Tamandua tetradactyla: one gene and its partners. The protein of the gene in region 3 interacts with the protein of the main gene of each other region in a biochemical or structural test. Links are inferred from orthologs where the notes say so. Each region holds a gene or a part of one and is shown on either strand. Other genes may lie near its edges. The genes, in order: ZC3HAV1, RIGI and TRIM25.

What was found.
Region 1: of the proteins of TRIM25 (region 3) and ZC3HAV1, one has a biochemical effect on the other in vitro, tested with the Homo sapiens proteins (2 studies listed by BioGRID). The link is inferred for Tamandua tetradactyla from reciprocal best matches to the Homo sapiens genes TRIM25 and ZC3HAV1.
Region 2: of the proteins of TRIM25 (region 3) and RIGI, one has a biochemical effect on the other in vitro, tested with the Homo sapiens proteins (5 studies listed by BioGRID, with this or other methods). The link is inferred for Tamandua tetradactyla from reciprocal best matches to the Homo sapiens genes TRIM25 and RIGI.

Annotation. Positions count from the first base shown.
Region 1 is NC_135327.1:182,161,611-182,172,496, forward strand, and holds the start of ZC3HAV1 (zinc finger CCCH-type antiviral protein 1), read right to left. Parts: upstream 4,595-10,886; 5' UTR 4,265-4,594; coding exon 3,957-4,264; intron 1-3,956.
Region 2 is NC_135328.1:63,388,933-63,399,659, reverse strand, and holds the start of RIGI (antiviral innate immune response receptor RIG-I), read right to left. Parts: upstream 4,216-10,727; 5' UTR 3,748-4,215; coding exon 3,642-3,747; intron 1-3,641.
Region 3 is NC_135332.1:37,907,458-37,918,740, reverse strand, and holds the start of TRIM25 (E3 ubiquitin/ISG15 ligase TRIM25), read left to right. Parts: upstream 1-5,973; 5' UTR 5,974-6,058; coding exon 6,059-6,655; intron 6,656-10,622; coding exon 10,623-10,718; intron 10,719-11,283.

The DNA of each region.
Region 1 (10,886 bases), on a different chromosome or scaffold from region 3:
GAAAATAACCCAAATGTACAATATTGGGGGAAAAGATAAATAAGTTTTTACATAACTCCTATGATAGAATACTATACAGCTCTTAAAATGAATGAACTAAGAAGGTTAAGTATCCACATGAATAGTTCTCAAAAACACAATGTTGAGTAAAAATTCTGAAACACATAAAAAGTACTACATTTTCTATATAGGTACAAATGTAAATGTAAGGAAGATATAAAAACATGGATAGGCAGAATACACAACAAAAGCACGACTGAAGCTGCTCCTCGAGTAGGAAGGAAATGGGTCTGGGAAAGAGGAAAAAGAAAACACCACACTTTAAGCTTGCTATGATTTTTTAGTTTTATTTTAAAAGACAAGAAACAAAAATGAACATTATAAATACGTTTTCATTCTGGGAGATGAGTTCTCTGATGCCTGTTATATTATTCTTTGGGCTTTTTGGTGTGGGTTTTTCTTTCAATTTATGAAAAAGTTAATGCTTCCCACCTACCCACCCCCACCCAAAGTTTCAATTAACCAAAACGGAAAAGCATACAAACAGGAAAGAGCCCAGAGGGAACACCCACATTGGCAGAAACCACAAAGCGAGATGAAAACACTCAGAAAGCCTGCTTTCAAAACTTAAAAAGAAATCACGTTTGCAAAAAATAACTTAAATTAATGAAATATCACACTTCATACAGCTACTTGACAAGGCAAATACTGGTTAAGAAGTTATCCAGATCTAGGTTCAAACTCTGATCCTGCCAGCAACTAAGTATGTGACCTTTGATAAATTTCTAAACATCACTGGGCCTGCATTTCTTTACCTCAAAATGGAGTTTACGATACCTACCTCAGATGCTAGGGTAAAGACTTACTTGTATACCGTCTGTGAAGTGCTTATCATAGTGCTTGGTACATAGTTATTTGTTCAATAAATGGGAGTTACTGTTTATGTCAGAACTGGGCTTAGAATTCTGTGTGGGGGCATACATTTCAGCAAAGCAAATAGAAATATCAGAATTTATCCACCAAAACAAATAATTACCCAACACAGAATCAAGTCCTATTCTCAATTAAAATGTATAGCTAAAAGCAGGACAGATAATAGAAACCCCACCTATAAATAACAGCCCTACAGAGGAAATTTTATAAGTCCAAAAAAAGATGCAAACTGTCACCAGGTACACAGAGAAGGTTTTCTTGAACTAAAAGGCAATTTCAACTTGATTATCAACAGGTCAACAGATTACATTAACCAATAATCCACAAAGTCCTTTTGTTACACATGCCAAGTGTTGTTTCTTTCTTTCTTTTTTTTTTTACATGGGCAGGCACCGGGAATCAAACCTGGGTCCTCTGGCATGGCAGGCAAGCATTCTTACCTGCTGAGCCACTGTGGCTCACCCCACAAGCCAAGTTTTATGAGATGAAGTTTCATAAATTGCTGAGAAGGGGAAATATTTTAAAACATATTTGGGAAAAAACCATATTTTCTAGGGTTTGAGGACCAAACAAGTAAATTTTCCCAGAAGTTCTCATTATGAGAATACCATATACAGTAATGGATAAAAAAAAAAAAGGTGCAATATCTAAATTCAAAATTGATGTAATATGAAATGAAAAATATGACCAGTTATTTACCACACTACCAAAAAAAAAAGTTTAATGAATCTCTAGAGTATGCACTCAAATTTGCACAAACAGTCCCTATATTATATATCTTAAAATTATAATTTCAGGTTAACAACTCAATTTGTGAGCTAAAAATGGTTTTGAGGTTTCAAACCAGGCAAAAAACAACACCATAATAAAATTCATAAAACCAAACTAAGTTGTCCAAATATATTATTGTGTGTAATATTGCAACAATTAAGGACTGTACCTGCTTATGTTTTTTTCCCTGAAAATGCAAGTCTGATTTATAAAATAATCAGGGAAATTTTAATGCCAACTGGATATTAGATGACATTAAGGAATTATTGTAACCTTATAAATGAAAATTGGATAGTAGTTATTTTAATAAAAGCGTGTAACTTTTAGAGGTATTCATTATTTATGAATGCAATGATGCCTGGGATTTGCTTTAAAATAATTCATTGGAGTGAAGAGCAGGGATGAGAAGAGAGAATAAATGAAACAAGATCGGCCATATTTTGAAAACTTTTGAAATCAAAGGATGGCTGGGGGGTTCATCATACTCTCTTCTCTACTTTTGTGTACATTGAAAATATCTATACTAAATAGTCAAAAGATAAAAGCATATGTATTTAAAAGTAAAAGCCACCATTAGCTGGTAAGGAATTTCTCATCATTCACTTTAACAGAAAAAAGATAATCTTCTAATCCCACTGCTATTCAATACAGTGCTAGAATATATAGTGTTTCCTTTTCTATTCTCCAGTCTTTCCTTCTTTCCTCAGTGGTTTCTTCCACCCCCGACTCAGATGACTTCCTCTGTAAGTCACACGTATCTTCAGGATCTCAGAAAGAGGCGTTCAAATAGTTACCTCACAAGGTACTAAACAAATATTTTTAAAATAAGCACTCTTATTCAAACACCTTTTTTAAATTTTAGAATGGGCAAAAAGGTTTTTTGCTATAAACAAATACCTTTTTAAAAAATATTATCCGTCTCATCCATTTAAAGCATGTGTCTTCTCTACATTTATATTACACATATATCAGAAGGTGAGTGATCTAAAGTTTTTTGCTAATAAGAAGTATGGGATCAGTTAGATGGCCACCATTTTAGACAAGTCACCACTTAAGGTCTTTAAGGAGGGCAATACTGTAAGACATGCCATATCAGGTACATGCCATGTACAGAAGTAAACAGAGGCAGAACAGATGGGGGAAACCACTGTGGCTACTGAGACCGTCAATTTAATTCAATAATGAATGCACTGGGAAGTGCGATGGAAAAGAGGAACTGGACAGGAGATAGGTATGTGAGACTTCACAGAAAGAGCGAATGAATTGCGAAGAGGGAAAAATATGAAGAAAAGGTGGAAGGGAGTGTCAAAAACCCTGTCTGGGGGAAAGACCATGAGTTTAACCAAGTGTACTCGGAGACTGCTGTTCCCGAGACACTGAGATATGAAGATATGAACTCAGTAGGCAAGCCTGAGCAGGGGGTGTATGCTGGGAAGCCATCTTTGTAGCTCAGGTAGCTGAGCCAACGAGTGAGCTCTTTTAGTGGGAAACTTGCGAGATAATCTAATCAAAAGGCTCAACCCAAACCTTGGGGCGCACCTATATTGAGAGAGCAGAAAAGAGCAAGTGGAGACACAGAAGTAGCTCCTAAGCAGTAAGCTGTACCATTTTAAACGACCATTTTAAGTCAGTGGTCCCGGGCGGGCCACTGCAAAGACACAAGCGGGAAAGTGCTCAGGGACTTTATTACAGGTAACCTAAAGGAGGGTCAGATGGTGTGGACTGGAGCCAGACTGTAGAGAAGTGATACTGGGAGGTACGGAGACAACCAAGATTGGAGGGTCAAGCAGAGACCAGCCGCTCGCTGCGATGGAGTCCGATGGAGAACCCCGAGTGCGGCTTTGGTGCCGGGAACCCCGCCAACAATTCTAGGATCGAAGGTAGCGGAAAGAGAAGGACTGAAGAATCCAGAGAACAAAGGCATTTTTCTTCATTCCCAAACCTGCCTTCAACATCACCAGGATCGGCTTGCCCAAAAAGCACTTTATTCTTATGGGGATGGGTAAACGCAGTCTCCGCTTGGGCAGTGTGGCGTTAGCCATATTCGAGGAAAGATCTTGAGGCACCAGGGGGATGGGGACCGCCAGGGTTAGAAGCAGGGGCTCTCCAAAGGGAGCAAAGAAATAAGAGGCTGGAGAAAGATGCTGTCGGGTGAGGGAACCCGGTGAGGGGCGCCCCTCCCGAAGCAGCAGCCCCGACCATCTTTCCCCACCACAGCCGAGGGGGTGCCTCCCCTTTTTCTGTGCACTCACCGATCCACATAAGAATAGCTGCACCGGCCTAGCAGGTTGAGCTTGCAGAGGTGCAGGTTTTCGCAGGGTCTGTTGCAGAACTTACGACGGCAGACCCGGGCTCGAGTGGTGGCCACCACCGACCGGCTGACCTCGGCCTTGCCGCCAGTCTCCAACACCACGAAGCGGTCGGGCCCGGCCACCTCCAGCACCTCGCAGAGTTGCGCCTCGGACAGCGCGATTTCCTCAAGCAGCTTGTCCAGGGCCATGCGACCCCCATGAGCGCACAGGATTTTGGTGATGAAACAGCACACCTCGGGGTCCGCCATGGCGCGCTGCCTGGCCTAGCCGAGTGCGACGAACTCAGCTTGCGTAGAATCGAAACTTACAAGTGTCCGCGGGGCGGGGACGGGAGCGGGCGGTGCTCCGCTGGACGCGCCCAGGGCGAGCGCGCGCTCTCTTCCTCCGTTAGCTAAACCCATCGGTTTCGGTTTCCAACTCGGCTCTTAGACGGAGAAGCCAGATATCACCCTCTAGTCCTTGTGTCAGATTTGAACTCTAACGCCGATGGGAAAACCTGGAAAGTGAACAAGCGCGGAGAACTCTTGGTTCTAAACTAGGCGAAGATGGGGTTTCCCAGATAATCGCCGCGGGGCTTTTTCGGAAAGAAGAGAAACTAAAAATTATCTCTGGGCTCTGGGAGCGTTTTTATAAGTCAGACTAAGTGGCAAGTGACGCGAGTCTTGAGAGCCCTCTTGAGGAGTCCTCTCGAAATCTCCTACCTCACCCATCCTTGGAAAGAACCGACCCTAGAGTACTTCCTCCGAGCTGGGCGCTCTCCTGGTGTATTTTAGTTTTCTAAGTTTCGTGGAATTTACAAGGCTCCACGGAGTCGATATTATCATCATCACTCAGTAATTGAGAAAGTAACTTGAGCAGAGGTGCACCACTACCAAGCTGGAATGCGGGTGCCCCCCGAGGTTCCCAAAATCTGGCCGCCGTGTACCAGATCGAGGTCCGCGGAATCCAGGACCAACGCGCACTTTTCTTCCATCACGATGACCCCTTAAAGAACAGCGATTATGACTCTCCGTTTTTGTTTTCCCACAAACTTTTTGAAGAAACTCTTTTAGACCCCTTCTTTTCTGCCTATAATCACTAACAGAGATGCCCCAGACATTGCTTCTTCTTCACAAGAAATCACAGGTACACATCCCAAGATTTCAAATCTGTGTCCCCCTTTTAGATATTTCGACAAGACCTTCCCCTTCAGGTAGAATAAATTGGGCATTTATCAGATAGGAAATAAATCTTTAAAAAAAAAAAATAGAATGTGGTTACCAAATTAGAAATTCTTCGAAATCGCTAATGGGATAAAAAAAAAAAACAATGGTGGGATTCACACAGAACTGCAGGTCTGTGCCATCTGATTTCCTGTGCCTTCTGGCTACTGCTTCCACACTTGTCTTTCATCCACTTGGCCATAATTGTGGTTTGACAGGTTCTCAGGTACTGGGCTTTCATTGCCAAATCAATTAAATTTAACATATTTATTGAGTATCTTTTATGTGGCCCTTACATTAGTTAGTCATTCTGAAAATGTGTAACTTTAAGAAATAGTCCCTTCACTTAAGGAGCTTATGTGTGGGAAGGCTTGAAAAGAACATTAAAAATATAAGAAAAGCATTGATTAAATGTTGCAGTGGTTATTGAGGAGATTAGAAAATGATAAGTCCAGTTTGGTTAGAGTGGTTGGGAATAGAGAGATAACATTCCCCTCAGTTTGGAGACATAAATGCTTTAAGGGTATGAAAAGGGAAAAAAAGATATTTGGGGAAGTTTAAAAACAAATGCTGTCACAATTGGATTCTCTAGAAAGCAGATACTGACCCAGAGGTAGGAGTGCAAAAGATATTCTGTCCAGTGAAAGACAAGAGAAGGAGCAGGATTGGTCCGTGGGAGCTGTCAGACTGCTTTGCAGACCTGACAAAGTCTCTGCCAGAGCGAGGGGAAGCTCTGGAACAGAATTGGCTAGGCCTTTGTACCAGGCATTGGCAGGGGCCACCAGAAAAAGTATGTGACTTTAGCTTGATTTTTGGGGCAGATCCTGAAAGAGTTAAAGCTGGAGGCTTTCAGTTAAATGTTAAATACGTTCCTCACAACTGGACAGCAAATCCTGTCTTCTAGGGAGAACTGAGTGACACATCTTGTCTGTATAGTCCACTTTTTGTAGCATGTGGAACTATTTCTCCATCCATGTTCAGGGAACTCGGATGGGCCTCTCTTCATAAAAGGAAACTTAGAAGATGAATGAACTGTAACCCCTGTCACCGCTGTTGGCCTCAAGGCCATAGTAGGTTCTCATTCTATCTCTCCTCCGCTAGCCATTCTAATCCTCACCCTTGGCTACCACCTCACCTGGTCTCAGTGGCTTAACTGGTTGGGTCCATCAAATCCTCATTCCTGCGGGGTCTGCGCACCTGGTGCTTATTCTCGGTACTTATTCCCTTCACCGGCCAGGACTGGTGCTCTTGTCCATTGACAGTCACAGTTGGGCAAAAGAGTACCAGGAAACACCTGCCCCATTGAGTAAGAGCAGCCCCACTTCCAACTCCTGATGAGGGTCAATTACCTCTGATAAAATTGTCACCAAGCAATTAAGAGTTAACAAATGATTATGATTACTGAAGCATTATATAGATGCCCTTTTCCTTTCTAGTGTATTGTAGAATAACCGAAAGTAAATACCTGAACTTTCTGAAACTCACTGAACTATAACCCAGATAATAATGATTATATCTTTACCTTATGATTGCAAAAATCCTGTGCAAACGCATGACTGGCCCAGTTTGTATCCCCTAATCCTGTTTTACAACTTTTAACGTCTTGTGATCCCTAGACAGCACCTTAATGTTTATTAATGAAGGAACATGAGTCAGCCCATAACTGACCCACCCCAATTCCTAAGCTGTCTTACTAGACAAAGCTAGATCTAACCAAAATTGGCCTTCCTGACATGTAGTAGCCTGAACCTTAACCTGTAAGTGACCTATACCTCATTATAATACTAAAAATCACGCCCATCATCATCCTGTTAAAGCCGCCAATTTATTACATATGTTCTGTAACTAGGCATTTAATCAACCTGTGCATGCTCAATAATTAGATCATCTCTAACTTCATCTTCTCAAGGCATTATACTCAATATCCTAAAACCTGCCCATCTTTTGATATTATAGAATTCTCAGTTACTACAGTTTGGGGAGACAGATTTTAAGCCCATAAGCCATCTGTTCTTGTTTCACTCTTGGCAATAAACTTTTTCTCCCTTTGAAACCCATTGTCTCAGGAATTGTCATTTGTGTATATCAGGCAGAAAATTATGCATTTGTTGGTAATAAGATGGCCATTCCTTTTCTTACCTGCTAGTCTCTAACATCAGAGTCCAAAGTGCCTGATGGCAGCCAGAGCTTGTAGGCGAATGGGACGTTTGCTCTGTCCCCAGGCAAGAGTATGTCCCTTTTGGGGACCAGAACCTCTAAACCTGCAGAGCCCAGATTGTAGGCATCAGGAAACCCACTGTGTCACTGGGAATGATGGAAAGTGGAGCTACTCTTGCTTCTACTCTGTTTCCAAACCCACTGGGGCTGCAGCACCATATTAAGTTCTCTGATTTAATGCATATACCAAAGCCTGGAGAACATGTCATCATTGCAGTATATTGCCTCCAGCTCGCGCTTCAGCTTCATCTTTAACAGGCCATGCTATTTGAAGCTATTATGTACCCCAGAAAAGCCATGTTTTAATCCTGATCCAATCTTGTGGGGACAGCCGTTTCTTTTAATCTTAATTCAATACTGTAGGGTGGAAACTTTTGATTAGATTATCTCCATGGAGCTGTGATGGTCCCAACTGTGGGTGTGACATTTTGATTAGATGGAGATATAACTCCGCCCATTCAAGGTTGGTCTTAATTAGTTTACTGGAGTCCTTTAAAAGGGGCAACATTTTGAAGATACCTCAGAGCTGAGCAAATGTAGACATTTGGAGATTGAGACAAAAATGGCCCACGTGCTAAGCAAGGACTCACCAAAATAGCTAGAACCTGAAGAGATGAAATCTCCAACCCCAGAAGACGTTAAGCTAAGTGCTGAAACCCTTAGAGTTTTGTCCCGGAGCAGCTATGTGAAGGCCTATAGATGTTTAGAGAGGACATCACTGGCATCAGAAGCTGGAAGTAACAGAACCGGGAACAAGGACCCGCAGATGCCACCTACATGCCTTCCCAGATCATCCTTCCTATTAAGCAAGGTATTTTTCTCTGGATGCTTTAGTTTGGACATTTTTCAGCATTAGAACTGTAAACTGGTGACTTGCTAAATTCACTTCTTAAAAGCCATTCCATTTCTGGTATATTGCATTCCAGCAACTTAGCAAGCTAAGACACAAGCCACTCCAACAATTTATCCAGTAGCTTCTGGAGAGATGAAGTAAGTGGATATGTCTGGTGGATCCCACTGGACCTTGGTCAAGACTTCACTTGCCCCACTTTAACAGGGGAGCCATGAAGATGCTTCAGGATTGACGCTATCAGTATCAATCCTCTGTTGGGTCTTCTGGCCTAACATGATATTCCATCATGTCCACTTTTCTGAGTCTTTTAATCCTTTCCTCTACTGTCTGCCATGGCAACTACGGCATTCCAACTTCACTCCTTATGAACCATCACTTTTCCAAGATTTGCACCATCCCTTCATCCTTGTCAGAATGTTAAATCTTGTATCATGAGGGAGCGTCCCTAAGTCAATAAAGTCTCCTTTCTCAGTCTTAGATTCCAGCTCACTTGATAAACCAGCAGTTTTCTTAGAATGATAAGGTTGGAATTCAGAATCCATAGTAAAGAAATAAAATGATCCTTTCTATGGATGCAAGGGTAGTTCAGTGGTAGAATTCTTGCCTGCCATGCAGGAGATCCGGGTTCAGCTCCCGGCTCATGCAACTTCCCTAAATAAACAAATAATTCAACAAATGGTGCTGCAATAATGGATAGTCATATGGAAAAAGAATGAAATATGACCCACACCATACAGCATCCAAAATATATATACATATATGTTGAAGTCCTAACCCCAGGTATCTCAAAATGTGTCCTTATTTGGAAATACAGTTATTGCAAATGTGATTAGTTATGTTAAGATGAGTTCATATTGGAATAAGGTAGGCCTCTAATCCATTTTGATGGTGTACTTATAAGAGGAGAAGAAACAGAGACAGACAGGACGAAGACAAGGTAGAAACTTAAGTTATACAGCTACAAGCCATGGAACATAAAGGATTTCTGGGCACCACATGAAGCTACAAAGAGGCAAAGAAGGATTCTTCCATAGAACCATTGGAGAGAGCGTGACACAGACTTGCCTTTGGACCTCTAGCCTTCAGAACTGTAAGAGAATAAATTTCCGTAGTTTTAAGTCACCACGTTTGTAATACTTTGTTATGCTAGCCCTAGGAAACTAAGACAATCACTAATTTTAGAACATTGACAGAAAAGAAAAGGGAGGGGGGAGAAAGGAAAGGGTAAGGAAAAAAAGGAAAAAATTATCTAGGTACTAGACAGAGAATTTTGATTGTTTGTTCCTTGTTGATTTTTGTTGTTTCACTGGAAGATCCTGCCATATGTGAAGGTTTTAAAGAAATAAATCAGGGGAGCATGCAAACCTGAAGCGAAAGGGTACGTTAGTATGCTATCAGGCTATATGATTTGGCACCACCTATCAGAGAGGAAAGCAAAGCCTACACAAGGCAGTTAGGTCACCTGTGCTAAGTCTAGTAATTAAAACTGTATAAACATCAGAAGGTGAGTCAGATGGAATGCATAAAGTCCATAGCAACTATGTGTATTCCACAGGAGCTATGGGAATCAAAAGTGGCATTAGTCAAATGGTCAAACAGTAAAAGGAAGGCAGAGGTTAGGGAGTGGTTACAGGAGTTTTCCCTAAATGGAATCTATACAACAAGCAAGTTTCCCTAGGAGGAACTGAATTGGTAAAGGATGGACTTGCAGGTGTAGGTGAAGGAGTAATCTTTAGTGTAGAGAAGGGGCATATCCTTCTTCGTGGATAAATTTATAGACATTGCTTTGATGGTGCTCAAATGAACTTCAGACCACAAACCTTCCAATAACACTGGTCTGAGAGCAGAGGCAATGGACATGGAGTAAAACAGAGGAGGGATCAGTTTGGTGAAGATAGCTGATATGGTAGCCTTATGGCCTCCAGTGAGTCTTGCCTCCTGATATTTACATCCTGTGTTGTCCCTTCTCACAATAAATAGATCAGACCTGTGTAATCAATAGGATATTACAGAAATGTGTGTGGCTTACAAAGCTAGGTCATAAAGCAATGGCAGCTTCCTCTTTGTCTACTCTTACATTGTTCACTCTGAGGAAGCCTACTGTTATGCTGGGAGGAACACTCAAGCAGCCCTATGGAGAAGTCCACGTGGCAAGTAACTAAGACCTCTTGCCAACAGCCAGTGCTAATTTGCCAGGCATGTGGGTGAGCCATGTTGGAAGTGGATCCTCCAGCCCCTAGCCAAGCCTTCTGAATCACTGCAGCCCCAACCAACAGTTTAACTGCAACCACCGGAGAGTAGAACCATGCAGCTAAGCCACTCCACAGAAATTGTGGAAGATGATAATGTTGAGTTCTTTAAGCCAGAAATTGTGGGTTATTATCACTTTTTTGAGATACAATTCACATAACAGGCAATTCACCCACTTAAAGTGTACAATTCAATGGTTTTTATTATATTCATAGCTTTGCAACTATCAACCACTATCAAATTTCAGAACATTTTCATCACCCCAAAGAGAAATCTTCTATCCTTTAGCTGTCACCCCCTTCCCTCAGTCCTCGATGTCCTCTACCTCAGCAACTGCAATCAGTTATC
Region 2 (10,727 bases), on a different chromosome or scaffold from region 3:
TGACTAAGCATGTAATCAGTCTATATATACTCAATAATTAGATCAACTCTTATTACATCATCCAGGGCCCCTCTGCTTGTCTTCTTTGCTATAAAACCATCAGAATTTCTGTAGTTCAGTGAAACAGATTTTGGGCCAAACGGCCATCTGCTTTCCTACTACATGCTTCATAATACACTTTTTCTCTCTTTGAAACCCCAGTATCTCAGGAATTGAGATTGAGCTCATCAGGCAAAAGAATCCACCACCTTTGTCCAGTAACAGCACTGCCTTGCTGGTGCCTCAAGTTTGGACTTCCTCTAGCCTCAAAACTGTGAGCCAGTTAATTCCCATCATTTAAGCCAGCCCACTGTATGGTATTTTTTTTAGTAGCTAGGAAACTAATATATTTCCTTTCAGTTTTTTTCCAGCTAGTTTTCTCTCCTACTTTCAACCTCAGTTAAAATGTCACAGATCTGGGCCGCGGTGGCTCAGCGGGCAAGAGTGCTTGCCTGCTATGCCGGAGGACCCCGGTTCGATTCCCGGCCCCAGCCCATGTAAGAAACAAACAAACAAACAAAATATAATAAAACAAGAAAATGTTTAAAGATGTCTCCCTTTCTTCCTCCCTTCCTTCCTTCCATCCTTCCTTCCTTCTCTCTGTCTTTCCTTCCCTTCCTCCCTCTCTCTAAAAAAAAAAAAAAAAAAAAAAAAAAAAGTCACAGATCTATGAAGCTTTCTCTGACCCCTTCAGAACAGGTAGATGTCCCATCTATGTGCTCCCACAGCACCCTATGGTTTCCCATGAGAGAATTTAACACATTTTATTACTTATTGTGTATTTAGTTAACTGTCCTCACTTATGAATTCCAATCTCTCTTAGGCTAAGGAACATTTCTATTGCACTCACCGTTGATTCCTCTGTTTCTAACACAATGCTTCATATTAAATAACATGTGCTTAGTAAATTGCCTCCAAATACTAGCACTATGACTGGCATATCTCAGATGCTTATTTAATTGAATCAATGTATACTGAATCAATACTCGAGTGCATGAAAGAATGGGAGTCACAAAAGTCTGTTAGTGTTTCATTCATTCCAGTTTTTCTTTTGATTTCTTCTTTGATCCATTGGTTATTCAGGAGTATGTTGTTTAATTCCCACACATCTTAAACTTTCCAAAATATGTTATTGATTTCTGTGCTGGTTTGAAAGGAAGTATGCCCCCTAAGAAAAGCCATGTTTTAATATAAATCTCATTTCTTAAAAGTAGAATAATCCCTATTCAGTACTGTATATTTGAAACTGTAATGAGGTCATCTCCCTGGTTGATGTGATTTAGTTAAGAATGGTTGTTAAACTGGATTAGGGGATGACATGTCTCCACCCATTTGAGTGGGTCTTGATTAGTTTCTGAAGTCCTATAAAAGAGGAAACATTTTGGAGATTCAGAGAGACTCAGAGAGGGCAGAGAATGCTGCAGTACCACGAAGCAGAGAGTCCACCAGCCAGTGACCTTTGGAGATGAAGAAGGAAAATGCCTCCCAGGGAGCTTCATGAAATAGGAAGCCAGGAGAGAAAAGCTAGCAGATGATGCCGTATTTGCCATGTGCCCTTCCAGCGGAGAGAGAAGCCCTGACTGTGTTTGCCATGTGCCATCTCACTTGAGAGAGAAACCCTGAACTTCATCGGCCTTCTTGAACCAAGGTATCTTCCCCTGGATGCCTTTGATTGGACATTACTATAGCCTTGTTGTAATTGGGACATTTTCTCGGCCTTAGAACTGTAAACTAGCAACTCATTAAATCACCCCTTTTAAAAGCCATTCTGTTTCTGGTGTATTGCATTCTGGCAGCTAGCAAACTAGAACAATTTCTAATGTCATTCCACTGTGGTAGGAGAACATACTGTATACATATTCTTTCTATCCTTTTAAATTTATTGAGGTTTTTGTTTTCTGGCCTAATATATGGCCTATCCTAAAGAATATTCCATGTGCACTTGAGAAGAATGCATATTCTATTTACATCAATAGTGTCTGTTAGATCTAGCTGACCTGGAAGAGATGTTAATTCTAATGAAAAGGCCCTGCCAAACCTTAAACATAGAAAACCATGGGAACAAGCAGTCCCAGAAATTCTCAGTGGCAGGGCCCCCTCACCTGCAAGTTAGATAAAAACCACACTCAAACATATAGACTTGTCTCTCTTCTCCAGCACAAAGTGGGGCATACTGAGCTGCATCAATTGACCCCAACCTGGAGCAGTTTTCGGCCACCTCAGGAGACTGGCCGTGATGGGACCTCTTCCCCTGCTCATTTAGATTATGTAAGTGACAAAGAGTTTGCCCTTTCTAGACTCTATTCTGTACAATAAAGGGATTATTTACTGTAAGTTTCTATTGTGCCCAGAACCTGTGTTCCAACAATGCACAATTGTAGTAACTCCCTCCACATTATCTCTCCTAATTTTTTTTTATTTTAAAGTCTATTTGCTGATACTACAATGACCACTATAGCTTTCTTGTCTCTGCTGTTGGCATGATATATATTTTTCTGTCCTTTTGCTTTCATCTATTTGTATCTTTGAATGTAAAATGTGTCGTTTCATTCATTCCAAGGGTCCAAAAGAGATGTCCTGCATGGACTTATATTTTTCAGGGGTCCAAGCTACTCTACTTATTAGGATGCCATTTCATTACTTCCCTCAGGGCACAACTAGAAAGCTGATGTCCACTTTTTTGGTGGTATTCCTTCAGTCCTCATTCCACAATCTGTGGTGTGGTTTCTGCATAGCAATTAGCACCCAAGTTGCCTGTCTGCTTTAATGCAACTTCAAAAACTGTCTAACATCAGTAAAGATATTTAGTTAATTGCAGGCTGAAAAGGAATTCCCAGAACTCTCTTCTCATCTCGGCTCTTTCAAGGTACTGCCTCACTTACCCTCCTCTCCAGGAAGCCTCTCTCATCTCCAGCACAAAGTAGTTTAATACATATTTACAGAATGGCCATTATGCATCATCATATGCCTCAGAAACCAGATGGAAAAATCTCTGAGTCTGAACTAAGACTCAGGGAGAGTCTTGCTCTTTTCAAGCTTCCGGCTACTTGGAACTTGGAACTGCAAATTAGACCCCGCAGAGTGAGCAACAACGACCTTTGATCTCTGACAAAGAATTTTGTACAGTGATAATGTAATCATTTCTGTAGATATGTCGTCGCCCCTTCCCCCAAACCTTGAGCTATAAAATCTTTTAAGGGAGGGCCTCTTATCTCATTTCTGGATCTCTGAAGCTGGCACAACATAGATCCCACGATAGAGGTAACTTGGTTACTTAGAAATATTAGAAATTAGTTACCTAAAAACTATTATAAATAAATGAAACAGCGATTTCTTTCCCCAGTTTTGAACGTAAATAGAAATGTGATTTCACCCTGCTGGGCTTCAATTTCCCTAAACTGACCGTCTCTGGTCTAAAATGCCGTGAAAATCTTGCCCCAAGCCTAGCGTTTCAAGCAGACAATTGAATCGATTAAAAGAAAGAAAGAAAACAAACAAGGGAAAAAACAACTTCTGAAAACCGTCCTCGAGGCTCAAGCTCCTGAGAGGCACTCGAGGGCTATGGGGACCTAGGCGAGGGAGCACCGCTGCGGACCACTCACCTTCCTTAAACCAGGGAGCCATGTAGCTCAGGATGTAGGTAGGGTCCAGAATTTTCCTAACGTAGTGCCTTACAAAGTCCAGATTCCGCCGCACCTCGGCCGTCATGCCTGCGTCCCAGCTTCCGAAACTTCGCTTAACGCCCAGATGGAGGTCGAGGAAGCGCAGAGCGCAGCGATCCAAGGTGGGATTTTCCAAGAGATAGACCCAGCGCTGAGGGGCGGAGCAATGAGGAAATCTGAAGTCTCGAAGAAAAATCGAAACTGCAACTAGCGGCCGGTTGGGGGAGGGCAGGAAGCACAGGGATCAGCTGCCTTGGAGTTGCGGGTCCAGTCCGCGCAGTTTCGTTTTCTCACACTTGCTTCCTCCTTTGCCAACCCCAGCAAGTTCGATGATCCGAACTCTTCGAGTTCGAAGAGGACCCCTAGAAAAGTTTTTTTTTTAATTTATTTCTCTTATTACTCGCCTTCTTAATAGCGGTAGGGTTTAAATGCAGTTAAAATTTGTAGGTCTTAAGTGGACAGTTCGCTGACTTGAAAAATAGATGCCATTTCCCGAAGTTGGGTGGGGGAAGTCTGTGTTTAACTGAATAAGGAACTGCCGCTTGTTTCCCAAAATGGCTGTGCCATTTTGCATTCTCACCAGCAGTACAAGTGAGCTCCAGATGATATACATCTTCACCTTCGGTCAGCCTTCTTTTTTTAATTTTTAGCTATCTTGGTGGATGTGAAGTGGTATATCGTCGTGGCTTAATTTTAATTTCCCATATGATTGAGGATGTTGGGCACATGTGCATGTGCTTATGAGCCATTCGTGTCTTCGTTTGTGAAGCATCTTGCCAAATCTTTTGCCCGTTTTTTTTTTTTATTGTGGATTTACAGGAGTTAATTATTTATTCTGGATACAAGCTCATTGTTAAATATTGTATTCCAAATATCTTCTAGTCTGTGGCTTGACATGTCATTTTCTTAAAGGTGTCTTGATGAGCAGAAGTTTATTTTTATAAAATCCCATTTAATTTATTAGCGTTTTCTTTGTTTACTCTGTGTTTTCTTTTAGAATTTTTATATTTTCAACCCGTAAGGTTGGGTCTCTGAACATTTCAAATTAAACTTGTGTGACGTATAAAGCAGGGCTCAAGGTTCATTTTTTCCAAACTTTTATCCAGTCATTCCAGCACCATTTGTTGAGGAAACTTATCTTTCCCCATTTAATGACCTTGGCACCTCTGCCAAAAAATTAATTCACTGAACATGTGTAGGACATTTCTGGCTCTATTCTGGTCCATTAATCTTTTAGTTGATCTTCATACAAATAAAGCAGGTCTTTTTATTATGATAGGTTTCATGTAAGTCTCGGAGTCAGGTAATGTGAATCCTCCAACTTTGTTATTTTTTTTTTAAAGACTCTATTTTTTATTCTTTGAGTTTCCATTTTTACCAAGAAAAAAAAACCCATTAGGATTTTGACCAGGATTACATTCAATCTATAGATAAATTTAGGAAGAATTGATATATTAAAAATATTGAGTCTTCCAATACGTGAAAATATGTCTTTCCATTTACTTAGGTCTTCTTTAACTTCTGTCAGCAATATTTTAGTTTTTCAGAGTATGGGTTTTATACATACATATCCTGTTAAATTTATTCTTGCTTTATGTTGTTTGATGCTACTGTAAATGGAAATTTTTTTAAGTTCCACTTTCAAATTGTTTATTTTTAGTATATGGAAATACAAGTGATTTTTGTGTATTGGCCTTTTACCTTGCGATATTGCTATGCTCACTCGTTAGTTCTTCTGTAGATTCCTTAGGATTTCCTGAATCAATAGTCATATCATTTGTAAACACAATTTTACTTCTTCTTTTCCAGTCTTTATGCCTTTTATTTAATTTCCTTTCCTTATTACACTGCCTAGAGTTTCCAGTAGAAGGTAGGTTGAATAAAAATGGTAAAAGTTGAAGATGAATAATAGGGGGAACAGATGTTAAAATAAATTTAGATTGAAATGCTGGTGATCGGTGAGGGTGAGGGGTGGGGGGTATGGTATGTATGAATTTTTTCCTGTTTTCTTTTTATTTCTTTTTCTGAATAGATGCAAATATTCCAAGAAATGATCATGATGATAAATATGCAACTATGTGATGATATTGTGAATTACTGATTATATATGTAGAACGGAATGATCAAAAGTTATGAATGTTTGTGTTTATTTGGTGTTTTTTGGTATTTTTTTATTTAAAAATTAATTTAAAAATAAATAAATAAAAAGTTAATGCCCTTACCTTATTACCACTGTCAGGAGAAAAAGATTAGCATTTTCCCTTTATCATGATGTTAATTGTAGGTTTTTCTGAGATGCCCTTTATCACACTGATGAAGTTTTCTTTTATTCCTGGTTTGTTGTGAGTTTTTATCATGAATGGGTGCTTCAAATGTTTTTTCCACCTCTGTTGAAGTGATTATATATATATATATATATATATATATATATATATATAATATGCTGGATTTCATTCATATTAACAGCATATCTGTTAATATGCTGGATTTCATTGGTATCATTTCTTTAAATGCTGAACAGAATTCACCAGTGATACCATTTGGGCCTGGAATTTTCTTTGTTGGATGATTCTTTATAACATATTCAATTTCTTTGATAAATATAAGGCTATTCTGATTTTTTATTTCATCTTGAATCAATTTTGGTAAATTGTGTTTTTCAAGGATTTTGACTATTTCACGTAAATTGTCAAATTTATTGGCATAAAATTGTTCATGATATTCCTTATTATCTTTTTACCTTTTTTTCTTAATCAGTCTTGCCAGGGATTTACTCATTTTATTCATCTTTTCAAAGAACCAATCTTTGATTTTGGTTGTTTTCTTTACTGTTATTCTACTCTCTATTTCATTGACTTCTGCTCTTATTATCAGTTACTTTCTCCTACTTCTTTTAGGCTTAATTTGCTCTTCTTTTTCTAGTTTCTTTAGGTGGAAGCTTAGATCACTGACTTTATATATCTTTCTCTTCCAATATAACTATTTGAGGTGATAAATTTCCCTTACAGTAACATTGCATACATTTTGATATGTTATATTTTCATCCCATTTGAAGTGGCTTCTAATATCCCTGTCTTCGATGTATTGGTTATTTTGAAATATGCTATTCATTTTTCAAATAATTGGGAATTTTTCTATTTAATCTATTTTAGTCAAAGTACTTATGGCCCAGCATAAGTACTATCTTGTTATACATTCTAGGCACCCTTAAAAAGAGTATGTGTTACAATGGACTATTGAGCAGCTGCAAGAAGGAATGAAGTTATGAGGCATGCGACTAGGTAAATGAACCTTGAGGACAATTTGTGGAATGAAATAAGCCAGGAACAAAAAGACAAATATTATCATGCCACACTAATATAGACTAATTATAAGGTCCAACTCAGATTTAAATACAAAACATAGATTATCAGGTGAAGGACTATTGTGAAGTGTGCTGGTTTGAAAGGATTATGGACCCTAGATAAGCCATGTTTTAATCCTAATCCATCTTGTGGAGCAACCATTTCTTCTAATCCCTATTCAGTGCTGTAGGTTGGAAACTTCATTAAATTATCTCCACAGAGATGTGACATGCCCAATTATGGGTATTAACTTTTGATTAGAAGATGTGACTCCCACCCATTCCAGGGGAGTCTTGACTAGTTTATTGGAATCCTTTAAAAGAGGAAACATTTTGGAGAAAGCTTCAGAGCAGAACCATGAGAACCCATGCTGCTAGAGACCTTTGGAGATGAAGAAGGAAAACACCCCTTGGGGAGCTTCATCAAAAAAGAAGCCTGGAGAGAAAGCTATCATATGTCACCATGTTCTCCATGTGCCTTCCAGTTGAGAGAGAAACCTTGAACATCATCGGCCTTCTTTAACCAAGGTGTCTTTCCCTGGATGCCTTAGGTTGGACATTTCTATAGCCTTGCTTTAATTTGGATATTTTCACAGCTTTAGAGCTGTAAACTTGCAACTTAATAAGTTCCCTTTTTAAAAAGCCATTCCGTTTCTGGTATATCACATTCCAGCAGCTAGCAAACTAGAACATAAAGGTCTTAGATTGTAAGCTCTTACAGCAGTCACATCTATTCCAACTGTTATTTCTAAATTCTGATATGCTTAGCTATATATGTATAACCTGGCCATTCCCTGGAATTTTGGTACTTGCGTGACACCTGAGACTCAGAGCTGGAGTTCTGCAGCTATGAAAATCAGCATTACCCCATACAGCAGCTGTTAAGAAAGCTGAAAAAGTGATCAGACTTCAATTAGAAATATGAATGAGGCTAATGTGGGTAGCACTGAGGTAAAGCAGACTAAAGGGTAAAGGATGATATTGACTATATTTTAAAACTTTAACTTCTGTGTGAAACCAAAGAAAGAGATGTTTATTTGGTGCAAAATTTATATTTTCTGCAGCACACTATCTAATCTAACTTGTTTGGTCAACTTATTCTAACAGCATAATTACATGGAACCTTGAATAAGAAGTGAGATGGTGTTGGTTTGTACAGGTTGCTGTGATGCCCCTGTACCTCCCAGAGTAATTAGGGCGGAAGATTAAAAACTATTTGCAAAGTTTTCCTAAGGGACTGGGGAAAAAAGTGGAAACATTAAAATTCCCCAACTGGGGAAGATCTGATAATTTTGTAATAGTTGGGGACTACAAGTTTGATGGGCCAGGTTCTTGATCTTGGGGCTTGTCCTTATGCGATGTATTCCTGCAAAGGAGAAGCTAAGCCTACTTATGATTATACCTAAGAGTCACCACAGACAACCTCTTTTGTTGCTCATATGTGGCCACTCTCTCTAAGCCAACTCTGCAGGTGAGTTCACTACCCTCCTCCTATGTGGGACATGACTCCCACGGGTATAAATCTCCCTGGCAATTTGGGACATGATTCCAGGATATGAGCCTGGCCCTGGCATCCTGGGATTGAGAAAGGGTTCTTGACCAAAAGGGGGAAGAGAAATGAAACAAAATAAAGTTTCAGTGGCTCAGAGATTTCAAATCTCTTGAGAGATCATTCTGGAAGTTATTCTTACACAGTATATAAATATCCCTTTTCAGTTTGTGGTATATTGGAGTAGCTAAAGGAAAATACCTGAAACTGCTGAATTATAATCAATAGCCTTGACTCTTGAAGATGATTAAATAACCATAGAGCTTTTAAGGTGTGACGATATGATTGTGAGAGCCTTGTGACTGATATTCCCATTATCCAGTGTATGGACAGATGAGTAAGGAAAAAAAAAAAAAGACAAAAATAAATAAATAAATAATGGGGGGAGGGGAAATACGGGATATTTTGGGTGTTCTTTTTTACTTTTATTCATTTGTTATTGTTTATGGAGTAATGAAAATGTTCAAAAATCAATTGTGATGATGAATGTCCACCTATATGATGATAGAGTGTACCACTGATTGTACAATTTGGATGATTATATGGTATGTGAATAAATATCACAATAAAGTTGCATTTTTAAAAAAGTATGTGTATTCTGCCATTCTCAGGTATAGTATTCTATAAATGTTAATGATATCAGGTTGATATATAGTATCGTCAAGTTTTCTATAGCCTTACTAATTATGTGTCTACTTGTTCTATCAAATAATGAGAGGGTATTTAAAATTTCAAACTATTAGTATTGATTTGCCCTGTTAGTTCTATCAGTTTTGCTTCATATATTTTGGGTCCCTGTTTTTAGGTAAACACATTTATGACTGTTATCTCTTCCTGACAATTTATGTCTTTTACCATTATGAAATGTCTGTTTTTAATCTTTCCATATTTCTTATTAGCAAATCAAAATCTACTTCATCCCATATTACTATAGCCGTACTAACTTTCTTGGCTTACTGTTTGCATAGTATATCTTTTTTTATCTTTCAATATTTCTGGGGTTTTTAAAAAATTTTTTTATTGTATAGATAACATAAAAGCAAAGAAATAAAAAAGCAATAGTTTTCAAAGCACTCTTCAACAAGTGGTTACAGGACAGATCCCAGAGTTGTCATGGGCTACCATACGATCCTTTCATATTTTTCCTTCTAGCTGCCCCAGATTATAGGAGGCTTTTTCATCATCGCAATCAACTTTCTTTCCTTCTTTTTTTGTGAAAAATAACATATATACAAAACAGCTATAAATTTCAAAGCATAGCACCACAATTAGTTGTAGAACATATTTCAGACTTTGACATAGATTGGTTATAATGACACAACTCTAAGTTTCCACTTCTAGCTGCTCTAAAACACTGAAGACTAAAAGAGACATCAATTTCATGATTCAGCATTCATATTCATTTGTTAAATCCTATCTTCTATGTATAACTCCACCATCACCGTTGATCTTTCCATCCCTATGTTTAGGGGTGTTTGGGCTATGGCAATTCTAAATTTTTGATATTGGAAGGATATGTCACTATTATGGGGTAGGGAGATGAAACTATATGATGTTCTGGAGAGGCTGGGCTAGGTTTCAGGACTTATCTGCACCAGGGACCCATCTGGAGGTTGTAGTTTTCTGGAAAGTTACGCTAGTGCCTAGAACCCTTGTGGAATCCTATATTGCCCTAGGTATTCTTAAGGATTGGCTGGAATGGTCCTGGTTGGGGGGTTGGCAGGTTATGATAGGTAGCAAGGTCTACCTGAAGCTGGCATAACAGCAACCTCCAGAGTAGCCTCTTGACTCTATATGAAGTCATCTTCTACCTTATATATATATAAATATAATAAAAATTATACTTCTTTTTCCCCTGTTGGTCAGGATGGAATTGTTGATTCCATGGTGCCAGGTCTGGATTCATCCCTGGGAGTCATCTCCCACGCTGCCAGGGACACTTTCACCCCTGGATGTCATGGCCCATGTAGGGAGGAAGGCAATGATTTCACTTGCAGAGTTGGGCTTAGAGAAACTGAGGTCACATCTGAGCAACAACAGAGGTCCTCCAGAAGTAACTCTTAGGCATTCCTATAGGTAGTCTAAGCTTCTCCACTACCCACATATGCTTCACAAGAGTAAGCCTCATGATCAA
Region 3 (11,283 bases):
GCACAGATTTTGCATTCCTTCCCATATTTTCCTTTGGTCATTTGGATATACGGGTGTTCTCCAAGACACGTCTGGCACAGTATGGGGAAGTTGGTATCCTCCTGGTTCTGCCTGTTATAGGTATTGGATCTCAGAGAGGTCGCCATCTGGACAGCGTCTGGAGGCAGCGGTGGCTTTCTAGTTGGAAGAGAGGATGCCACAATACCATCAGGCTGAAATGCAACTCATTTTAAAAATTAATCTAAAACAGAATATTCAGGATGATAAACTCCTGGCTTCAAAAGTGATAAAACGCCCATTTTGTTTGATTGTTGGGTTACATGATTATTTGATGTTTTGAATTCTTAGAACATTATTCTTCCATAGTCCAATTAAGAGAATGGGTTGGTATGTAACTGTGTGGTTGTGAAAACCTTGTGTCTGATGCTCCTTTTATCCAGAGTATGGGCAGATGAGTAAAAAAAATATGAATAAAATATAAATAATTATTAGGCGGATGAGGGGTAAAATAAATTGGGTAGATTGAAATACTAGTGGTCAATAAGAGGGAGTGGTATAGGGTATGGGATGTGTGAGTTTTTTCTTTTTTCTTTTTATTTCTTTTTTTGGAGTGATGCAAATGTTCTGAAAATGATCATGGTGATGAATATACAACTATGTGATGATATTGTGAGCCACTGATTGTATGTCATATGTGGACCATATGTGTGTGAAGATTTGTCAATAATTTTTTTTTTAAAGAGAATGGGTTAGTAATCTACATATATATGAATTCTAGCTATCTAGCTTTAGAAGTTTTCATAAACAATACAAATGATACACTCACCTGATAATACAAATCTGTCTGGAAATTTCCGTAAATGTGTTACATTTTCTTTACAGTTATAAATTTCCCTCTCAACACTGCCTTTGGTGCAGACTATAAGTTTGGTATGTTGTGTTTACATTTTCATTTGTCTCAAGATATTTCCTAATTTCCCTTGTGATTTCTTCTTTCACCCATTGGTTGTGTTTAATTTCCACAGATTTGTTAATTTTCCAGATTTTCCTCCATTATTCATTTCTAGCTTCATTCCATTGTCAGATAAGATACATTGTGCATTTCAACGATTTTTAACTTATTGCAATTTTTTTCTTTTTTAGTAAAGTTGTGGGTTTATAGAATAATCATGCATAAAATACCACCCTATTATTAATAACTTGCTTTGGTGTTGTTACAATTGTTGATTGCCATGAAAAGGAATAAAGTTATGATACATAATACAACATAGATAAACCTTGAAAACTTACAGTAAGTGAAAGAAGTCAGCTATGAAATATTACATATTTTGTGTAAAATGTTCTTAATAGGCAAATCGAGAGAAACTGAAAATAGATTAGTGTTTTGTCAGGGGGTTGGGGAGAGGGAGGAATGTGGAGTGACTACTAATGGGTATAAAGTTCCTTTCTTGGGATAATGAAATGTTCTGGAATTCAATAATAGTGATATGTGCACAGCCTTTTGACTACATTAAAACCTACTGAATTTTTTTGTACACCTTGAAAGGTTGAATTTTATGATATGTGAATTATATCTCAATTAAAAATAATTTAAAAAGGATAATATTAAAATATAGCAAGCAACTTAATAGCAATAAAGTCATTAGCATAGAGGAAATTGACAAATGCCTTAAAAACACAACTTACCAAAAACTGATACAAGCAGTAATAAAAATTTAAATTAGTCTTCTATCAGCTAAAGAAATTGAATTAGTGATTAAAAACCTTCCCATAAAGAAAATTCTAGATTCCTATGGTTTTACTAGTGAATTCTGTCAAACGCTTAAGAAAGTAATAATATCAGTTTTACACAAGGTATTTCAGAAAATAAAGAAGGAACTGTTCCCAATTCCTTTTTATGATGGTAACTTGACACTCATAGCAAAATCTGACAAGGACATTTAAAAAAAGAAAATTACAGTCAGCATCTCTCATGAACATAGATACAAAAATCCTTAACAAAATGTTAGGATATCAAATGCAGCGATATATAATAAATGATGACACAGCATGAGCAAAGGGATTTATTCCAGGAATGCATAGTTGGTTTAAGGTTCAAACATCAATCTGTATAATTCACCATATTAACCAAATAAAGAAGTCAAAACATAATCAGCATTGTTTAGAAAAGTATTTGCTGAATGAATGAGAGTGCCTCAATAAAAATGATCATAGTCCTTACTATGGAAAAAGTAAGGACTTTGTTGGACCTCTTTATACTTATTTTATTAAGAATAGATTCCCCCCCACTGTGTTTGTGTATGACAGCAAGGGTCACATACGACAACCTTTTTAGTATACAGAGAGTCTCAAAGTCAGGATTTTAGGATCATTTCTGTCTCTAGACCTTTCTAGCCTTCTTTCAAATGGGTACAACAATCAGTGTCCTTCATGAGGGGTTGAGTGCTAGAGGGTTGGGTGTTGGAACCACCCTCACAATCTCACGAGCATTGCACTGGTAGAAATAATAGGCTTAATCAAAATATATTTGTAGGCAAATGAAGTTAATTACTCCACCTAGTTCTCCCAACCTACAGGGGCAAAATGTCATCTGGTTAAGCCAGCCAGTCATCTGCTGGGACATCCAACTTCTTTGTGACCAGCTGGGATCATGTTTGACTTGAGGAGCTGCTCTACTGGTGTGACGACTCACAAACACACCCTCCAGCTCAGGAGAGCCATCTGGAGAGCCCATTACAAGGGTTCGCATTGACGCTGTCCCATTCTCACCGGTGTTAGTATGCTTCGTGTGTGTTTCATTTTGGTTCCACAAAAAGAAAGAAAGGTATTATTACAGGGCTCCCCATTTTGCAGATGAGGAATCCATGTCCCTAGGCAAAATCGACCTCTTGCCATATTCCCACTCCTGATTTGTCTTCTCCATGTATGAGAAGGCAGGTCGACATGTAACTCACATCTTAGTCCTTCAGCACTCAGTACAATGCCTGTTGCATAGTGGGCCTAAGTAAACACATACTGCACCGAAGTTGATAAACATAAAGTATGTTCCTCCTCATCTCCGCTGTCTAATCAGCCCTTCTCAGCCTTTCAGCCTGGTAAGACAATTCTACAGGTATTCCAGCATGAGTCACCAGGCCACCTCACCCGGGAAAGCTAGTCACATGGAATTTTATCGTGTTTCTTTCCTGGAAACTGCTCCCATATCTCCCTTTGGGAACATTTTATACCAGAAAAGGATTGGCTTTTGAAATCAGATCATCCATGGTCTTAGGCAAGTTATTTAGTCTCGCTAGGTCTCAGTTTTCTCATCTGTTAATAGGAGATAATTTATATCCATCTCACCTCAGAGATTTGTTGTGAGAATTAATTGAGATAGAATGAATAAATCTTAATTTCTTGCCTCCCTCATCCTTCTTCTGTTTTCCTCCACCCATATAAAAACAAATCAAAAGAAAACAAAAAAACAATATGAAAGAGAATGAGTGGGGTAAAGGGTTCTGGGGGAATAGAAGTCTGCGGGACAAGAATTAGAGGAAACAGGAGTTACTGTTGATTAGGCAGTTCTGAGCTAGAATCCCAGTCCTGCTTTCTATAATGTAGGTGACCTTCATCTTTAAGATGGACATAATATCTGCTCTCAGGGTTTATAAGGATTATAAGAGATAATATATGTAACTTGTCAAGCACACAGCCAATGCCCATAAATGGTGCAATTACCAAGGCATTTACCGTTTTCTCATTTTTACTGCCCACCTGGTGTCCAATCCAAACTCCAATAACGCATCCCAAGACACTCTTCCACTTGGCCAACACTCCATCCCCTTTCTCGAACACTTTTAGCCTCCTGTTCACCCACTATTATTTTTGGCTGTTGTGTCCTTTATTTCTCTCTCTTTAAATACATTTTTTTAATTTAAAAAGTTGCAGTTTTACAGAAAAATCATGCAGAAAATACAGAGTTCCCATATAACCCTTTATTATTTAACACTTTGCATTAGCGGGTACCTTTGTCACCACTGATGAAACAATATTATAATTGTACTGTTAACTATAGTTCATAGTTTGTATTAGAATTCACTGTTGAACAGTCCTATGTATTGTTTTTAAAATTTTTTAATCCTAGTTACATATATACAACCTAAAATTTTCCCGTTTTAACCACATTCAAATAAATATTTAAGTGGTATTAATTACAGTCACAATGTTGTGCTAACATTACCACTATCCATTGCCAAAACTTTCCCATCATCCTGACTAGAAATCCTGTGCAATTTAAGCATTAAGTCCCCATTCCCTACCCTGACCTTGACCACTGGTAACCTGTATTCTAGTGACTGACTCTATGAATTTGTTTATTCTTATTATTTCATATCGGTGAGCTCATACAATGTTTCTTCTTCTGTGTCTGGCTTATTTCCAGAATGTCATTTCAACATGACATTCAAGCTTTATCCATATTGTCACATGCCTCAAAACATCACTCCTTTTTATGGCTGAATAATATTCCACTATATTATATTAATATGCCACATTTTATTTATCCATTCATCAGTTGATGGACACTTGTGTTACTTCTGTCTTTTGGCAATCAGGAATAATGCTGTTATGAGCATTGGCATGCAAATATCTACTTGAGTTCCCAGTTTCAATTAGTTTGGATATATACCTAGAAATGAAACTGCCAGTAAATTGAGTTGTGTTTTTAAGTTTTATTTTTCTTTGTATATTTTGGAAATTAAACCCTTATTGCATATGTGCTTTCCAAATATGTCCTCCTAGTCTATAAGTTGTCCTTTTACTTTCATGATGAAGACTTTTGATGCACAAAAGTTTTAAATTTGATGAAATCCTTTTATCTGTTTTTTCTTTTGTTGCTTGTGCTTTGGGTGTAAAGCCTACGAAACCATTACTTAACTCCATTTTCTTCTAGGAGTTTTATTATTTTGGTTCTTATACTTAGATCTTAGATCCACTTTGAATTGTTTTGGATATGGAGTGAGGTAGAGGGCCACCTTCCTTTCTTTGCATATGGATATCCGGTTTTCCCAGCACCATTCATAACAGTCTATTCCTGCCCAATTGAACTGATTTGGCATCCTTGACAAAAATCACTTGGCTATAGATGTGCCTCTGCTGATACACTTTTCTTGTAGGCAGGACCAGAAGGGGGAGAAAGAGCTAAAAATATTAAAGGAAAGAAATCTAAATGAACCATTTAGAAAAAAATATCCAAACTCCAATACTGTATTCATTGTGCGTGGAAACCTTTGTTAATCTGGGTGTGTCCAAACCTCATGAAAGTAGAAATGGGAATTTTTAAATTATGTTAGATGGGTGGAATGGAAAGAAAGCTTCAAGTTCGGGTCTGGATTATGATAAGACCATGGGCTCCAGCCTTCAAGGATCAACGCCCTTCTGCCAGAACCCAGGAACAGGGAAGACAGAGGATTAAAAAAAAGAAAAAAGGGCAGTGTCCTTTATCCTTAACTGTTCCCACAATTGTTACTTTCAAAAGGCCTTTCCTGATAACTAGATCAGCCCTGTTGGCCGTGGCGGCGGAGGCATCTTGGATGGGCTCCTCGGGAGATGACTTGCTCCAGGAGCAAGTTTGTGCGGAAGCCGGACAGGACCCCGGTGGCTGTTACTCTCGGGTGCGCGACACTCCACTCCGCCTGTCCGTTTCCTCATCCGCAAACGTCCCGGGGGTCGCGAGCACGATCTGAAACCCCTGGCCCCAAGCGCCGAGCCCAGCGCGCCGCGCCCTCTCCGCAGGAGCCGTCGGGGCCCCTCACGTCGCCGACCGCCGTCTGGCAGCGCCAGCTGGTCTGAGGCGCCAACCCGCCGCGCCCCCCCGCGGCGCGCCCCTCCCCCGCGCGCCCCCCCCGCGGCGCGCCCCTCCCCACGGGCCGCCCCCCCCCGCGCCCCCACGTGACTTCCTGGAAGGCCGCGGTCCCGCCCCGAAAGCTGCTCAGTTTCGTTTCCTCGGCGGCCTCCGGGCGATAGTGCAGGAGCCGCGGCTACCGAACCAGCACGTCCCGACCCGTCCCCCAGGAGCGCCATGGCGGAGCTGTGCCCTCTGGCCGAGGAGCTGTCGTGCTCCATCTGCCTGGAGCCCTTCAAGGTGCCGGTCACTACCCCGTGTGGCCACAACTTCTGCACGTCGTGCCTGGACGAGACGTGGTCGGTCCAGGGCGCGCCGTTCAAGTGTCCCCAGTGCCGCGCGGTCTACCGGACGCGGCCGCAGCTGCAGAAGAACACGGTATTGTGCGCCGTGGTGGAGCAGTTCCTGCAGGTCGAGCTGGCCCGGGAGGAGGCCACCGACGGCTGGACGCCGCCGTCCCGTCCTGTGGAGCCCAGCTCGTCCAGCCCGGTGGCCTGCGACCACTGTCTGAAGGCCACTGCCGCCAAGACGTGCCTCGTGTGCATGGCTTCCTTCTGCGAGGAGCACCTGCAGCCGCACCTTGACAGCCCCGTCTTCCGGGACCACCAGCTGCAGCCGCCCATCCGGGACCTGCTGCGTCGCAAGTGTCCCCAGCACAACCGGCTGCGGGACTTCTTTTGCCCAGAACACGGCGAGTGCATCTGCCACATCTGCCTGGTGGAACACAAAGCCTGCTCGCCTGCGCCCCTGAGCCAGGCCAGCGCCGACCTGGAGGTAGGGGGAGTGGGTGAGGGGCAGAGGGACAGGCTAGAGCCAGCTGGGTTGTGCAGATGGCCAGGCTGGTGGCATCCCTGCCATCCCCTGGGTTCCCCGGGGGAACTGATCTTCTGGGCCTGAGGCAGGACCAGTCACAGTGTCAGAGTAGAAAGAAGCTGGGACATCATCCAGCCCTCCCCCATCATCCAACCTTCTGCCATCATCTGTCCCCATCCACCCACCCATTTTACGGAGGAGACAGCTGAGGACACAAGTGAGGTCTCTTGCCTAGAGCTTCGTATGGTATTTAGTGAGCATTTTGAACATCAAATATGAGCTCCCGGAGTTTCCTCCAGCATCTAGGAGATCTCTTATTATTTCTACTTTACAGTTGAGGAAACTGAAGTCCAGTAAGTTAATGTAGTCTCAGAAAATACAGTAACTGGTTGAGAAAGCAATGGCACCCAGGTTGCTTTGCGCAATTTGCAGTTTCCCTCCATGAACCAGCCCCATGTCTAGGTCTGTTCATACCTGGAGGCTTGAGGTCATGTAAGCCAAAGCCTTTGGTGAATCAGAGAGTTCTGTTGACCAGGGAGGGTAAGTTATTAGAGGATGGGGGGGAGACAGGGGGCAGAGCCCCAGGAATTCCTAGATATGACCACAGGGAGAGCCGACTGCTGTGTCATGGTGTGCTCTGTCCTGGCTGGATAACTTGGAGCACAGGATTTGGCCTCCGAGTCTGGATCCTTACTGGGTAAACAAGGAGACAAAACTGGATTCCTAAGGGGCCTCGCAGGTCTGTGGTCTTTAATGATTGGGAGTGCGGGTCGGGGGAGTGGGTGGACACAGGCAGAGGCTGGGAAAACGTTATCAAGCCACCTTGAGTAGCGTACCACCCTGGCCTCCAAAGATGGCCTCATTGCATTTCATTCTCATAGTACTGTTGGACAGAACAAGGACTGTTCTCGCCTTGTCGGAGGAAACATGAGGCCTGGGTAAGGTCAGGGGGAGATCTGTGGTGGCGCCAGAACCAGTGTCCAGGCCTCCCTGCTTCAGGCCACAGCCCTTCCCTGGCCATGTCTGCATCCAGGCCTGAGCTAGGTGCGTCTGCGCTCTGTCCTGACTCTAGACCTCAAGGCGCTTCCTGCAAGTGGACCTCCTCTGAGATGCCACCATCCTAGGAACCACTGCCTGAGTCAGGGCCTGTCACAGGAGAGAACCTGCCCAGCTTTTGGAGCCCTGCTCTGGCACGGTTTTGGGCAAGTCATTACTGTTCTCAGAGCCGAGGCTCCCTTGGCTGTCCGGTGGACTGATAGTATTCTCTCCCCACCTCACTGGGTGTCGGGAGGCTCCGGAGAGGTGAGTTGCATAGAAGGTGCTTTGTCTACAGGCCCCTGTGTCAGACCATGTGGCTGGTTTACGTGGCTTGGGCCAGAGCTGGGCGTTGAGAGATCTGGGTTTGAATCCTGGCTGCTCTTCTTAGCTAGGAAGTCATAACATGAGGATTAAATAAGGCGACCCATAAACCAGTGTTTCATAGTAAAATCTCTGTTGAGAGCTGTCTTATCATTTGGCCTAGGGAGAGAAGAGCAGCCCCCTGGGGTCAGACCATCTGGATCTTCTTTGCTTCAGGGTGCACGGGCCTGCGGGCGAGGCATGGGGCAGCCTGGCATTTGCAGAGAGGCTCTCCTAGAAGTTCCTGCCCCTGGAGGCAGAAGACAGCAGGGATAGGCCATGCTTCCTCAGCCTGGCTGGGAGCCACAGCTCTCATTTAGCCTCCAAGCTGGAGTCTGCTTCTAGTTTATTAGGTTCTGTACGTGCTTTTAATCCTTAGAACAGGCCTTCCTTGGCCCTCTCCTTCCCCACCCCTCGCCCCAATTGCCCTGGCTTACTGGGCTCTTTAATCGGTCTGCTTTTTTGAGCTCTGCTGCCACTCACTGCTGAATGTAGGGCACCCTGGCCTTGTGCGACTGGCTTGTCTCAGCTACTGGTGCAGGTGGACTCAGGACTTTGGTGACTGTCTTGGAGAACACAAGTGCCCGGGGGTCAGTCTGTGAAGGGACCTCAGAACTTCAGAGGGTTCTCTCCCCTTGATTAGGGGACTGTTGCCGCTGGTCAGAGCCACTGGGTCACTGTCCTTTTGTCTGGAGACATGTGGGTCTCTGGCCACAATCAAAGGACTGCCATGCGTGTTGATTAATGGCGGTAAAATCTTTCAAATACAGGGTTCACAGGTACAGTACTGAAAGTACCCTTGGAAATAAAATACGTGGCAGCCCCTAGGATTTGAAGTCTCTTCAATCCCCAGAACCCCATGAGGCTCCATCTGCTTGGGCTTGGACTTCTGCTCTTGGCCTACACCCTATCTCGGACACTGTTAGAGGCCAGGTCAAAGAGCATTGTCACAGAGGTCAAGCCTGAAACATCACTGGTGACTTGCGCTCTTGGGGTCCAGTTAGCTTGGCTTCGGTCCCTACTCCCAGCCCTTCCGTGTGACTCTCACTGGGTTATTCAAATCTAGGTTGAGGGTCAAGCTCAACTCCCAATAAACATGGGTGGAGTAGAAGAGTCAGGAGAGGGGAGGGCAGGACCAGAGTGTGTTGAGCCAGCTAATTAGGGGAAGTAAAAATTGTTTTCTAGAAATTTCCAGTGTGCTCAGCTTTAGCACATGCCTGTGATTGTAATACCTTGATCTAAACGGTACCAGTTAATAGCAGTGTGACCTTGAGCAGGTCACTTAATAGCTCTGTGCCTTAGTGTCCTCATCTGTAAAATGGGGGTAATGAGTCCTTACTTCCTCAAGTAATGAGTTCTTAGCTTTAAGTCAATGCATGGAAAGCACTGGAGTGGTGTCTGACATCTAGTAAATACATAATAAATGTTACTATGGCGGTTTTCCTTCTCATTTTCGCACCCCAGCATTACCTGTGAGCAGAGAGGCAGGATAATCAGTAATCAGATATTGATTTTGAAACATTATTGAAATCATATCTTCCTTCACAGTTTCCTTTTGTTTCCGGAGATGGCTAGGGGCCAAATGATTCTGAGTACCTTAATTCAGTTTCGGGGATTGAGTCTGTTTGCAGCTTGGCTGCAGCTCCTGCGGGCTGGTCTACTGCTAGTCCATTCTTATTCCTAAGGGGAGCCCTTGGTGGTCCCAGCCTGGGGGGTTACTAGGTGAGCCATGGACTCTGATTGTTGTCCCTCTGGTTCCTGGAGACTGTCAGGGGCTCCAATCAGCCGTCTTGGAGTTGGCCGATGCCCCTGGGGAGAACATTCCCAGGTGCTAGGCTATGTCTCTGGATTTCTTTCTCCTAGATCTTGACTCCATGACCTTTTTCTGCCTTGTTAGCTCTCCAGTGCCTTTAAGGAGGCTTTTGTTTGTTTGCTTTTTTTTTTCTGATATCTTACCTGCAGTTTGGGTCCTGTGCAGTGGGAGGGGTGGCCCGAATGACTTCACCTCTATTATGGAAGCAGCTGTCCAGTGCCTTCTGTCTCTGTGTGAACTCAGTCCCCGGGCTGTCCTCACTTCAGTGTTGACAGCTGTAAATGGGTAACAGTGAAGAGACTCTAAGAGTCCAAGCTGACATCAAGCCTGTCCTTTTCAAGATCCAGGCATAATGCCGAAAACTTATATTATTTCATTTACTCATTCCAGAACAGCCCTGGGAACTGGGGAATGTTGTTATCCGTCTTTGGTGGACATGGAAGCTGAGATGAGAGAATGTTGCACAGCCGGGAACTGGGATTTGAACCCTGGTCTGTCCGGCTCCAAATCCTGGACTCTGAGCGACTTGACTGTGCCCCCAACTGGATGAAGGGAGACAGTGAACATGGGAATGCTTTGGAAAGCTAAAAGCAGATGAGAGCTGGGGTGGAAGAATCACCTGTTGGGGAATGGGTTTGATTCAGGGGGCGTGGCCCTGTTGTCGGGCGCTGGGGCGAGGCGGGGCTGCGCTCTCACCCGGCTTGGTTTTCTCCACAGACCAAGCTGAAGAATAAACTGACCGTCATGTGTGGTCACATCAACGGCGCATCCAGAGCGCTGGATGACGTGCAAGCCAGGCAGCAGGATGTGCGGGTGAGTGCCAGCTGTCAGTGCCAGCTGTGGGCCTCGCCGGCCTCCAGGCGGAACAGGCTGGCTCCGGCCTTGAGAAGGCTGGTGTAGGCTTCACTTGCCAGTGTCAGGATTAAACTGACCAGTGTACAAAAAGTCACGTACCCCTGAGAGATCTCTTGCAACCTCAAATTGAAAAGTATCTAAAAGCCCAGAACAGGAGCAAGGTGGGGGCGGTGCGGGGGCGGGGCAGGAGGATCAGTAAAAAGCATAGTTAAAAGAAGTAGTAGTAGAGAAAGTGGTTATGATATAAAGTAGGAAAAAACAGGAAGCAAAATGGTTGCAGCCATTTATTAAAAGGAAGTATATTAATGTCCTAGGACGCTGCAAGAAATTTCTGCAGCCTCGATGGCTGAAAACTACAGAAGGTTGTCATCTCACTGTTCTAGAGATCAGAAGTCCGGAATCCAGGTGTGGTCAGGCTGTGCTCCCTCTGAAGGCCCTAAGGGAAGCGCTTTCCTTGTCTCTTCCAGCTTCTGGTGGCTGCATCACTCCAGTCTCTGCTTCCATCTTCGCAGGGCCTTTCCTC